3 linked regions of the Oryctolagus cuniculus genome follow. Each later gene encodes a partner of the first gene's protein in a complex. Links are inferred from orthologs where the notes say so. Each region holds a gene or a part of one and is shown on either strand. Other genes may lie near its edges. The genes, in order: CWC27, SNIP1 and CRIPT.

What was found.
Region 2: CWC27 (region 1) and SNIP1 share a complex: the UniProt entries of both Homo sapiens proteins name them as parts of the minor spliceosome. The link is inferred for Oryctolagus cuniculus from reciprocal best matches to the Homo sapiens genes CWC27 and SNIP1.
Region 3: CWC27 (region 1) and CRIPT share a complex: the UniProt entries of both Homo sapiens proteins name them as parts of the minor spliceosome. The link is inferred for Oryctolagus cuniculus from reciprocal best matches to the Homo sapiens genes CWC27 and CRIPT.

Annotation. Positions count from the first base shown.
Region 1 is NC_091445.1:85,773,892-85,777,540, forward strand, and holds part of CWC27 (spliceosome-associated protein CWC27 homolog), read left to right. Parts: intron 1-1,188; coding exon 1,189-1,301; intron 1,302-3,514; coding exon 3,515-3,649. UniProt on the Homo sapiens protein: As part of the spliceosome, plays a role in pre-mRNA splicing. Probable inactive PPIase with no peptidyl-prolyl cis-trans isomerase activity. As a component of the minor spliceosome, involved in the splicing of U12-type introns in pre-mRNAs.
Region 2 is NC_091438.1:135,212,847-135,216,595, reverse strand, and holds the start of SNIP1 (smad nuclear-interacting protein 1), read right to left. Parts: upstream 2,297-3,749; 5' UTR 2,206-2,296; coding exon 1,982-2,205; intron 923-1,981; coding exon 820-922; intron 1-819. Other genes in the region: DNALI1 (axonemal dynein light intermediate polypeptide 1), read left to right, coding at 3,012-3,125, 3,512-3,657. UniProt on the Homo sapiens protein: Required for pre-mRNA splicing as component of the spliceosome. As a component of the minor spliceosome, involved in the splicing of U12-type introns in pre-mRNAs. Down-regulates NF-kappa-B signaling by competing with RELA for CREBBP/EP300 binding.
Region 3 is NC_091433.1:156,146,728-156,150,406, reverse strand, and holds the start of CRIPT (cysteine-rich PDZ-binding protein), read left to right. Parts: upstream 1-748; 5' UTR 749-885; coding exon 886-901; intron 902-2,589; coding exon 2,590-2,655; intron 2,656-3,308; coding exon 3,309-3,363; intron 3,364-3,679. UniProt on the Homo sapiens protein: As a component of the minor spliceosome, involved in the splicing of U12-type introns in pre-mRNAs. Involved in the cytoskeletal anchoring of DLG4 in excitatory synapses.

The sequences.
Region 1 (3,649 bases):
CTGATGACTACTGATGTTGACTATCTTTTCATATACATATTGGTGCTACTTTTTAATATGAACTCTCGTATTCAGTCAAACTCGAGTTCTTGCTCCCCACCAAATTCTTTGCTTCACTGAGATGCCATGCTTTCTGCCATATCCAAGTTAACTTCTTTCTTCTCTATCAAGACTTCCTAATGATTCTAGAGTCCAGATACTCATACTACAGGAGATCATATATAACCTATCCTGTATGTTTATGACTTCTAAATTGTATATTTATATATAAATGTAAATAATTTCATTAATTTAGCAAACAGATTTGTAGTCTAATTGGACTCACATATATATTATGTTAATTATTTACCTTGTTTAGTAAAAGTTTCTTGTGGAGAGTGCATTGATGGTGGTAGACCTACAATCTGAATAATTTTGATATATTGTGTGTTTGTTTGTTGTTTGCATATTAATGAATTAATTCTCCACGGAGTGAAGAAAAGAAGTAGGAAATAAGAAAAGCAGGAAACTGGATCAGCAACAAAGTAGCCAGGGCTCAAACTGGCACTCCCATAAGAGGTTCAGACACCCCACACAGTGGCTGAACCTACTGCACCATAATGCCTGCCTCTCTGATATTTCTAACAATTTCTTTTATAACTATTTTCTTAAATTCAGGATTCAATAAAATATCACAGATTTCATTTGCTTGATATGTCCCTAGTTGTTGTTGTTGTTTTAAATATTTATTTATTTATTTGAGAGGCAGAGTAACAGAGAGGGAGAGGCAGAGAGAGAGAGAAGTCTTCCATCTGCTCATTCACTCCCCAGTTGGCTACAGCTGCTGGAGCTGGGCTCATCCCAAGCCAGGAGCCAGGAGCTTCTTCCAGGTCTCCCACATGGGTGCAGGGGCCCAAGGACTTGGGCCGTCTTCTACTGCTTTCCCAGGCCATAGCAGAGAGCTGGATTGGAAGTGGAGCAGTCGGGACTTGAACTGGTGCCCATATGGGATACCGACACTGCAGACGGCAGCTTTACCTGCTATGGCACAGTGCCAGCCCTGATATTTTTTAAGAAATAGGAAAAATAAAGTATTGGTTTGGGAGCTGAAGAAAACCAATCTTGGATCAAGTTGTATATTAGCTCTGACAATGGTAGATGGGCTTGATTTTAGATATTGCTAAATTATTTTTGGTTTTTTTTTTTCAGCTTATTATGACAACACCATTTTTCATAGAGTTGTACCTGGTTTTATAGTTCAAGGAGGAGATCCTACTGGCACAGGGACTGGTGGAGAGTCTATCTATGGAGCCCCATTCAAGGCAAGTGAGCTTGGAATGCTTACTCAAAAACGATGTGTCCCTTAAGAAAAAAAATTCCAAAAAGAAATGTTAGTATGCAAAATCAATGTCTGTCACATATTTAAGATTACACAGCATAAGAACAACACTTTTCCCATCAAGCATTCTTTGTAAGTTGTCTTAATGTAAGATTTTATACTAGAATTAATTCAGGGGGAACTCAAGGAGGTAGTGAAAAAGACATGGTTCAGAATAAAGATAGAGTATTTCCTGATGTCTGTCTGTATTGAATATCTGCAGCTCTGTAAATGAAAGCATTTTTTAAACACTGCATATGCTATTCTACTTTAAGTTTTATGTAAACAGTATCTGGAATCTGTAGTAGACTGCTCATCCTGCTATCACCAAATACCAGGCTGGATGGCTTCAACAGTAGGGTTTGTTTCTCATGGTTCTGAGGCTGAGAAGATCAAGCAGTGGTTCGCGGTCAGGTCTGTTTTTCTGGCTTGCAGATGACTGCCTTCTCTGACATCCTCACAGTGGAGAAGGGAAAGAGAAGTCTGGAATCCCTTATTTTTATAAGGACGCAAGCATTATTGGACTAGGGGCCCATCCTTATGACATTGTTTTAACCTTTATTACCTCCTCACGGACCAAAATATAAGTGACATTGTGGGCTAGGAGCTCAGTGTATGAATTTGGGGGTTACACAATTCAGCTCACAGAAGAATATATTCTAAATCATGCACAATAGATCTCGCGGCACAAAATGCACACCACAATTGAAAAATCACAACAGGAAAAGCAACATAAAAAGTGTTAGAAAAAGATACATTAGGAATAGGTCAGTGATTTCTTAACTACCAACAAATCTTAGAAGAACAATGAGGTAATGTCATAGTTAAGATAGAAAGAACTGTGTGTTCAAGTGAAAACTAAAATTTGTGTTCATTATTAACTGCTGGTACCTGTATCATGTTCTTTGAATGAATGAACATCAAAAGCTCTTAGAATTTAGAAGTTTTTGAAAACTTCATATTTCTGTTAATGGGGTAGAATGTCTGGAGTTTCCTTTCTTCTCTGAGTTACTGTGTGAGTCTTCAGAAAAATACTTTATGAATTGTTTGCTTTAATTTCCAGATGATAATGGCCTTAGGAAATAGGAAATGATTATGAAAAAATTTAGATGTCAAGTTAGCCTATTTATATTTACCAAAGTAAAATGACTCATAGTTTTAGAGCCTCTGTCTAGTAGGAAGCATTCCTTTATTCTAGTATTTGGTGTAACAGAATAGCTTTTTTTACAATTCCTTTCTGATTAATTTTTTGCTTTTTTATTTTCATATACTACAATTATTTTGTTAAATTTTTATGTTAGGTAATTTAAAATACAGTATATAGAGTAATGATTCATTGAATTCAGATCTCTTTGAGAATTAACTTATTAAGGAAAAATAACTTCATTTATGACAAGCAGTGATTACATTCATGGCTACATTATACATAATGCAAAATCAGGTCTGGATGGAAATTCTGTGTACTCAATCTTAGCCAAAAGGCCTAGAACCATTGGATATTCTGTAAACAAAGTGGCTTATGTATGTGTTAAGTAACCCTATCATGCAAGATAACCATCTTAGAAAGGCTTGCTCCTGCCCTTTCGGAAACTAGCAGATTGGACCAATGCCAGTTCAGAGAAGATTCAGCTTAGGGCTTCAGTGAAGTCACAGTGAAATCATTTAACATAATCAGAATAAATTCCTTTAATTAAAAAATGAGAAGAAAGCAATTGTTTTACGACATTTATAATGAGATGATGACTATTACCTGAAGACTCTGCAATGACTCAACATTGTTTTCTTGAAGAAAAAAAAGATTTTAAAAGCTTGGATGGTTTTGAGGGATAATAATAGGGAAGTGAATCTTAGAAATCTACTCCCAAATGAATACCCTTCCCCTGCATGTTAGTAGACAGCTTTCCACAAAATATGCTGATCTGTGGCTGAGTATGTCTAGAATATACTTATAGGTTAGTGATTTCTAGTTTAAGTGCATTAAAAGTATAAATATTAGACTTGATTACACTTAAAAGTCAGTTAAATTAAACTTATCATTTTTGTTAGTATTTTGAGATTTTGTTAGTATTTTGAGATCTTACTGGTCAGGTAAATAATCAATTGAATTTGAAATATCTTATAACTGAGAACATTCTCTAAATATTTTTTGTACCTCAGGATGAATTTCACTCTCGGTTGCGTTTTAATAGGAGAGGACTGGTTGCCATGGCAAATGCTGGTCCTCATGATAATGGCAGTCAATTTTTCTTTACTTTGGGTCGAGCAGATGAACTTAATAATAAACACACCATC
Region 2 (3,749 bases), on another chromosome or scaffold:
GTGAAAAAAGCCAGTCCCAAAGGTTACATGGTGTGTGATGCCGCTTATGTAACTTTTTTTTTTTTTTGACAGGCAGAGTGGACAGTAAGAGAGACAGAGAGAAAGGTCTTCTTTTGCCGTTGGTTCACCCTCTAATGGCCGCTACACCGCGCTGATCCGAAAGCAGGAACCAGGTGCTTCTCCTGGTCTCCCATGCGGGTGCAGGGCCCAAGCACTTGGGCCATCCTCCACTGCACTCCCGGGCCACAGCAGAGAGCTGGCCTGGAAGAGGGGCAACCAGGACAGAATCCGGGGCCCTGACCGGGACTAGAACCCGGTGTACCGAGTGCCGCAGGCGGAGGATTAGCCAAGTGAGCCGTGACGCCGGCCTGTAACATTCTTGACACATGACAAAATTAAGCCAACAGATTAAAAGTTGCCAGGACTTATGGAAGGGAGAAGGTGGGAAAGAAGTGGGTGTGCTATAACAGGACAACATGCCATGTCCAGGTGGCAGGAAAAACGTTTTGTAACTTATGCCAATATTTTGATTGTGATATTGTGACTACACTTCTGTACCATGCTTCCATTGGGAGAAACACCTGTCTTTATTAAATCTGATCTAAATCAGTAATTATCTCAAAATAAAAAAGCTTAAGAAAACCAGCAGAAATTTACCAACAACCAAAACAAACTCACACACTCAGTTTTCAGAAAAGCCCGCTGCAGGTGTAGGTGCTGTCTCTGTGGGTGTGCTTCTGGCTGGCTGTTTCCCTGGCTGCGGTGGCAGGAAGAGGCGCTGGCCTAAGACCCCACCTCAACACACCCCAGCCCACTTACCTGCTTCACTTTGACTGCCGAGTGGTGAGGACTCCGACTTCTCTTGCTCCGAGGAGACTTGCTTCTTCTCCCCGAGGACTTGTTTTTCTTTTTGGCTGGAGACCTTTCAGGGCATGGTACACACAGGATTTTATCTCAGTTTCCCTTCCCCCACATAAGCTAGCTTCTGGTATGGGGCTTACCTACTAACACAAACACATTTGTGAAAGACTGCTGATCACACCAAAGGAGCCGGGGGGCTTCCCGTTCCTCACCTACTCTCCCGCCTACGCCGCTGCCTCGGAGCCTCGGATCCTCCTCACTCAGGGAACACGGCTCTCCATCCCCTACCCTTTGAAGACTCTCCTGTCCAGGTCTGTCCCTTGGCTGTTCGCCCACCACCATGCAGAAGTCACTCTCATCACCACAATTCACGGGAGGCACCTCCTCCCCGGCCCACCTCATCGCTACCATCCTCCTCCTCCTCCACGATCACGACTTCTAGCTCACGTTCCTTGCACGTTTCCTCGGCGGCCAGATCACTCAGGTCTCTGCTCAAACGGCACCTCTTTCAAAGAGTTCTATCCCCGCTTCCTTCCAGTCTCTCACGATCACCTTACTGGGCCGACCTAGCCCTGAGACCTGTTGCCATCGGAAACTGTTTTGTTTGCATGTTGGCAGTCTTCCTGGGGCTCAAGCTCGTCCAATTTCACGAAAGCCTCACCCGTGTGGCCCAGGTCCCTAGTGCACTCTTTAGTACCCTATAGGCATTCAGTAAAAGTACGCTGAACGATGAACAAACAGTGCACCTAGCAGATCGCTTATACTCGCGTGGGGTGGATAAGGGCGAAGACAACGCCCGCACTCCCTGCGCGGGCAGACGGGGGGAAAATCTTTCAACTTAACGGACGATGAGTGCTAGCCGCTGGGCCACGCGCTCCGCGAAGTGCTGGCGACACACGAAAGAGGGGGCGAGGCCCTGACCCACAGGCATCAGCTCGACCCCAGCTGTCACGCAAGTAACCAGCACCGGAGCACACACGCCTTTACCCGAGCGCGACCCGGCCACTCCCACCGCCTCCCGCTGCTGGGCTCGGCATTCAGAACCCACTTCTGATGCCGGCCCTGTGCTCTTTTCTCAATGAGTCCGACCCAAGGTCCACCCCGGCTGTTCTCTGCTTACCGGCTCTCTCCCCGGGCTCTGCTCCCGCGGTGGCCAGGGCGGCCCGGCTCGCCGGCCGGCGGGGACGGAGTAGCGCCGAGGTCCGGCCGGCGGGGGGCGGGCGGCTCGGCTTCCGGGCTGAGGCGCTCCTGCTTCACCACCACCGCCGCCGCCGCCGCCGCCACGTCCCCCTCCCGGTGCCTCCGCCGGCTCCTCCGCTCCCGCTCGCTCTTCACCTCTTTCATTCTGCGACTCGGGTCGGGCAAAAGAAAAGAGGTCCGTTGAGCCACTCTCTCCGAAGGAAATGACGAGCTTGACCTCTGGACTTCCGCTTCCGGGGTGTGAGCTCTCCCAGCAACCCTCGCGGCGGAGCGCTGAACATGTGACGGCGCCCCCCCCGTGGGCGGGGCTGCAGGGAGCCGGCCCGAAGGGCGGGAGTTTTAAGTTTGGAAAGCAAACTACTGGGGAAAAGCGAACCTCTCAAGTTAATTCTTCACCGCGTAACTACAGAGCATGTGGGCAACCTCAGTGTACAGCTGTAGGGGGCTCCTTAGCCAATCACTGGGCATTACGTAGCTATTAGTAACGTTATCACGAACCATATACCGCTTTGTGGAAAAAGCCCGGACCGACACGGTAGAGGAAGGCGACGAAACTGCGCGCCAACCGTGATTCCATTTGGCCTTGGAAATACAAAAATGCAATCATAGTAGCCCGTGGACAAATCCTGCTATGTCAGTTCGCCATTTAACCTTGAGGAATACTTTTTAAAGCCCTGGGGATTCCAGAGACCCTCTTTTGGGGAATGGTCTCCAGCCCTTCACTGAGGTGACAATCTTGGGGCTCAGCGAAGGGGGATCTACCCAATCACGCAAGTTGCGCGCTATACGCAGCGCAGGGACTCGAACCCCCGTCTCCCGGGCGACCCGGCTGGCAGCAAGATTAAGACGCCGAGTGCCGGGGCCGAGCGCCAGGGCTGCGCGGGACGCGTCCGCGCGCCGCGCCACGCCCACCCGAGGCCCCGCCCCGGCCGGGAGGGGGGGCGGTTTCCATGGTGACCGCAAACCAGGCCCCCATCGCCGCCATGATCCCCCCGGCCGACTCTCTGCTCAAGTACGACACCCCGGTGTTGGTGAGCCGGAACACGGAGAAACGGAGCCCCAAAGTGAGGACGGGCCTCGGGGGACCGGGCCAGGCAGATCCCCGCGGCGAGAGTCCGGAGTCCGGGGACGGGCCCTGGGACGGGCGGAGAGGGAGCGAGTGGTCCGGGTGGTCCAGATGTCGCTGGGTGTGAGCGCCGCAGGTTAGACCTGGTCGCGGGGAGACAGACGGTAGGGATTCCTCTCCCGGTAGTCGGGTTCAAGGACAGGTCAGGTCGCGATGTCCCCACCGCTACAGGTGGGAGCGCAGACGCCTGACCGCTTCCTCCAGAAACACTGGTCCGCGCATTGCGTTGGGACCAGGGACTCTTCACGGGCTGGGGGTAGGGGAGGGGGTGCGCAAGACCCGGAGGCGTCCAGGGGGCTGAAGGCCTGAATCGTCTCTTCCCAGGCTCGGCCACTGAAAGCCAGCCCCCAGCAGCCGGGACCCTCCAGTCCAATCCCACAGATAACCAAGACCAAGCTCCCCTCAACTTCCTGTGTCCCAGATCCTACAAAGCAGGCAGAAGAAATTTTGAATGCCATTCTGCCCCCAAGGTAAAGCGTGGGCGCAGAGGCTGGGAGAAGACCAGACTTTGGTAGTGTGGGGAGAGGCGTTCGGCCCCCGTGCCTGGCCAGGGTTTCCTCCC
Region 3 (3,679 bases), on another chromosome or scaffold:
ACTCTCAGCTGCCTGCGGGTCGGGTAGGGGGAACAGAAATCCATTCTCTCAACAGATCCCCCTTACTTTCTCTGGGCCACCCTCGGAATCCCAGCAGCAGAAGCCACACTCCAGCGCCTGCTCAAAGAACGAAGGAACCCGGGCAGGTGAAGCGCCTGCCCTTCTCGGCGGGCCCACGAGGACACCTGCCGGGCGCGCCTTCGCGGGGCCACCGCCACGGCGCCGGCGATCTCGGCCCGCCCACGCCGGCCAGCAGGGCGCCGGCGAGCCCTCCCGGGGCAGCCGCCGCCCGGGTCGCGGACTTCATCCGCAGCCCCACCCCACACCGGGTCACTGGGGCTCGGCCCGTCAGCCGGCGAAAGCTGAGGGACGCGGGCAGGAACGCGCCTGAGAAAGAGGAGCGGTCCAGCAGGGGAGCCCCTGGGTCACGCGGAAGGAGGCCCTCCGAGGGCCGGCGGGGGCGCGCAAGCTCGCGACCACTCGGGCAGTTGGCGGAGGCGCCTTCCACACCTCCCAGAGGAGAACGCAGCCAACGGGGCTTACCTAACTCTCCCGCCCGCGAAGGGAAAGGGAACTACTGCCTCCCACCATCAAGGCACAACGGGCTGCCCCAGCCCACGCGCAGGCGCAAGCGCGCGGGGCGGAGACCCACGGTCGCACAGCCAATCGCAGAAGGGGATGGGCGGACAAACGAGGCAGCCCCGCCTACCCGCTGGCGTTCATGCCTCCCGCGGCTTTCCAGGCGTAGGATTGGCGGGAGCGGAGGATTAGGGGCCGGAAGTAGATTGACGTAGCCCGGAAGGAAAATTCTTCCCAGGCTGTAGTGTTGATGTTTTCAAGCTGCGGCTGATTCTGGGGCGAGGAGGGCGAATCGTCGGCGGAAAGATGGTGTGCGAAAAATGTGAGTTAAGGGGCCGCTTGTGTGGGGAGAGGAGGCTGGGAGAACTTACTCGGACTCTCCTGGGAACTTGGTTTTTCCTTTTCCCACAGGTCTCTAAGTCTAGCCTGTGTTCTCCCACCCTTGCCCTGTGACCCTTCCTGCCCCTCATCGACTGTGTAATCCCGTATATTTTGTCATCAGAATGGCCTTAGTTCTGCACCTTTTTGCCCATTGCCGTCGCCGCCTTCTGGCTCTCGCCTCATCAGTTACGGCTTCTCGACCGCCTCCGTCAGGCTTAAAATGGACCTTAAAAGTCATTTCTGTAGCGTGTGGAGTTGCGAGATCTAGCAATTCCAGACCTCCAATTGAATTTTAATTTAAGATAAACAACGAATACTTTTTTTTAGTGCTGTAAGTATGCCCCATTCGGTTATTTAGGACGTGCCTTACTAAATTGGCTTCGTTGCTTATTCTGAATGCATCCCATCCTATGAAAGAAACAGTATCTGGGTGGGGGAGGCTGGAGACCCCCACGACCTACGAAGAAGTCTCTGCAAGGAGGCATTGCTGGCTTGAGGAAAGTATTTTCCTCTGTGGTTGCCACCCAGTGTTTTTAATTCAAACTCTTAAGATTTGTAGAAAATACACCCTGTGGACCTACCAAGCTGTTTATGTGTTTAAAAGCAGCTGTCAAGTTCCCAAATCCTCTCCCTCTGGCTCTTCTGTGACAAGAGTTCCACTCCTCTTAATCCTGATTATGGTCTAATGAACATGACCTGTGGGCATCCCCGTGGTAGATGGATACAGTCTGGACACACAGACCCATGGCAAAGCTGCGTGGTGTTCCCAGATTTCCCATCTGAAAATGAGAACGCAACATAAGCCTTGGGTTTTTTTGAGAATTACATGAAATGACATAGGTAATGCCTGGTACAAAGGTCCCTAGTGTGTCCTCTGTCATAACTCACTACTGCGTGACACAGAATTAAACTCTGCTCCATATGTGGGCCAGAGTGCAACTAATGCCTCCCTCCTTCTGGATACTACACCACATACCATTGTTGCCTTACATTAAGCTTTAAGAAAATAACCATTAAGACGTAATTCACATGCCATGCAATTCATGCACTTTAAGTGTACAATTCACTGGTTTTCAGTATATTCAGAGTTGTGCAGTGTGATCATAGGCTGACCTGTCCATCCCTTCAGAAAGTGCATGATCTTACTTGACACTGACTGTCTGTAACTCTGCTTCATCTTGTACTTGCAGTGGTTTTTGGACTTGTGTGTGTATTTGAGTAAGTTTGAATTAAATATCTTTATATTATGTGCTGGCCCAAATGTCTCATCTCTTAGGTGTGGTTCTTAAATCTCTAACTTTGGCCTCCCATGTAATTTGTGTTAGTCTGTCACTTGGGATGCTTGTATCCCAGATTAGAGTGTCTGGGTTTTGCATCCTTGGATGTGAGTCCCAGTTCCACTCCCAACCAGTGAATGGGAAACCACCTGCCTCCCCAACCTGCATTTCAAACAAATAAAATAAAATTTTTTTAAAAAAAATCTTGAATCTCAGTTCACTAGCCTCTACCCCAGCATTAACAGGCTCCCACTGTAATATGACTGTTGATGGCATTGGGAGCCTTGGCACCATGTGGTGTATTTATTAACTAGCAAGTTATAATGCCCCTTTTACTATTTTATCACAACAGGTGAAAAGAAACTTGGCACTGTTATCACTCCGGATACATGGAAGGATGGTGCAAGAAATACCACAGGTATTTTTTTTCTTTTGGAAAACAGAAATTGAATTAAATACCACCTGTGAATAATATATTTTTACATTTATTTGTAAAGTGAGATGTTGTATTCTCAGAGTATCTTGTCTATAAAGAATATACGGGGTCCCCCAGTGATTTAATGCCTTCTCTCTAGTTCTCCCAGTTACATGCACAGGTTCCTAACATAGTAAGCAGGAGATAGCAAACCTACTAAATATTTTCAAGTGATGAGTGTGTCATAGTGTAGAGTCCGAATTTAATTTCTCCTCTCCTCACCTAGTTTTTATCTTCTTTATAAAAAAAAAATTACTTAAGCTGTTTTCACCAGGAAGGAAACGAAAGTTGAACTGGACTCAGAGTCTGTGACACCAAAGTAGTAACTTCTAGATTTTATAGTGGATGGAGTAAATGTAGACTCACCCCTAAAGTACTGCTTGCTGTCTGAGTAAGAAAACTGCATCTCACATAAACGTCATTGTTTCCCTAATATTTTCTAAGTAGCATCTCAAAAACTTAGCTATTTCACGAGAATTTAAAAATTTTGATATAGGCTATTCTAATGGTGGGAGGTCAAAGGATGAACTTCTAACTGAATTAGTAGGTGTGATGTTAAGTATGTAGAAATAACTTACTGAAATATTTTGATACAGAAAGTGGTGGAAGAAAGCTGAATGAAAATAAAGCTTTGACTTCAAAAAAAGCAAGGTGGGTAAGAGCCTCTGTGGAGCCGTCGTGTAAGTTCCCACTCCTGAGACTAAGCATGCGGGAGTGAATTTACTGTTCATCATTGCATTGTGCTCAAAGCATGAGAGGTCCTGGCAGAGGGAGCCAGGGATCTGGTGTAACCTGCTGGTTAGCACTGTTCCTTCTCACTGTGTCAGCCTCTGGAGATACCAGTGCCACGGTCTCTATAATTGGACCAGAAGACATGAACTAGCAGATGGGGGATCTGGGTCTCAATCTTTCCCTCTCTGCCCCCACCCCCACTTGTCTCTTTGTCTCTTGAGAAGATAAAATGAAA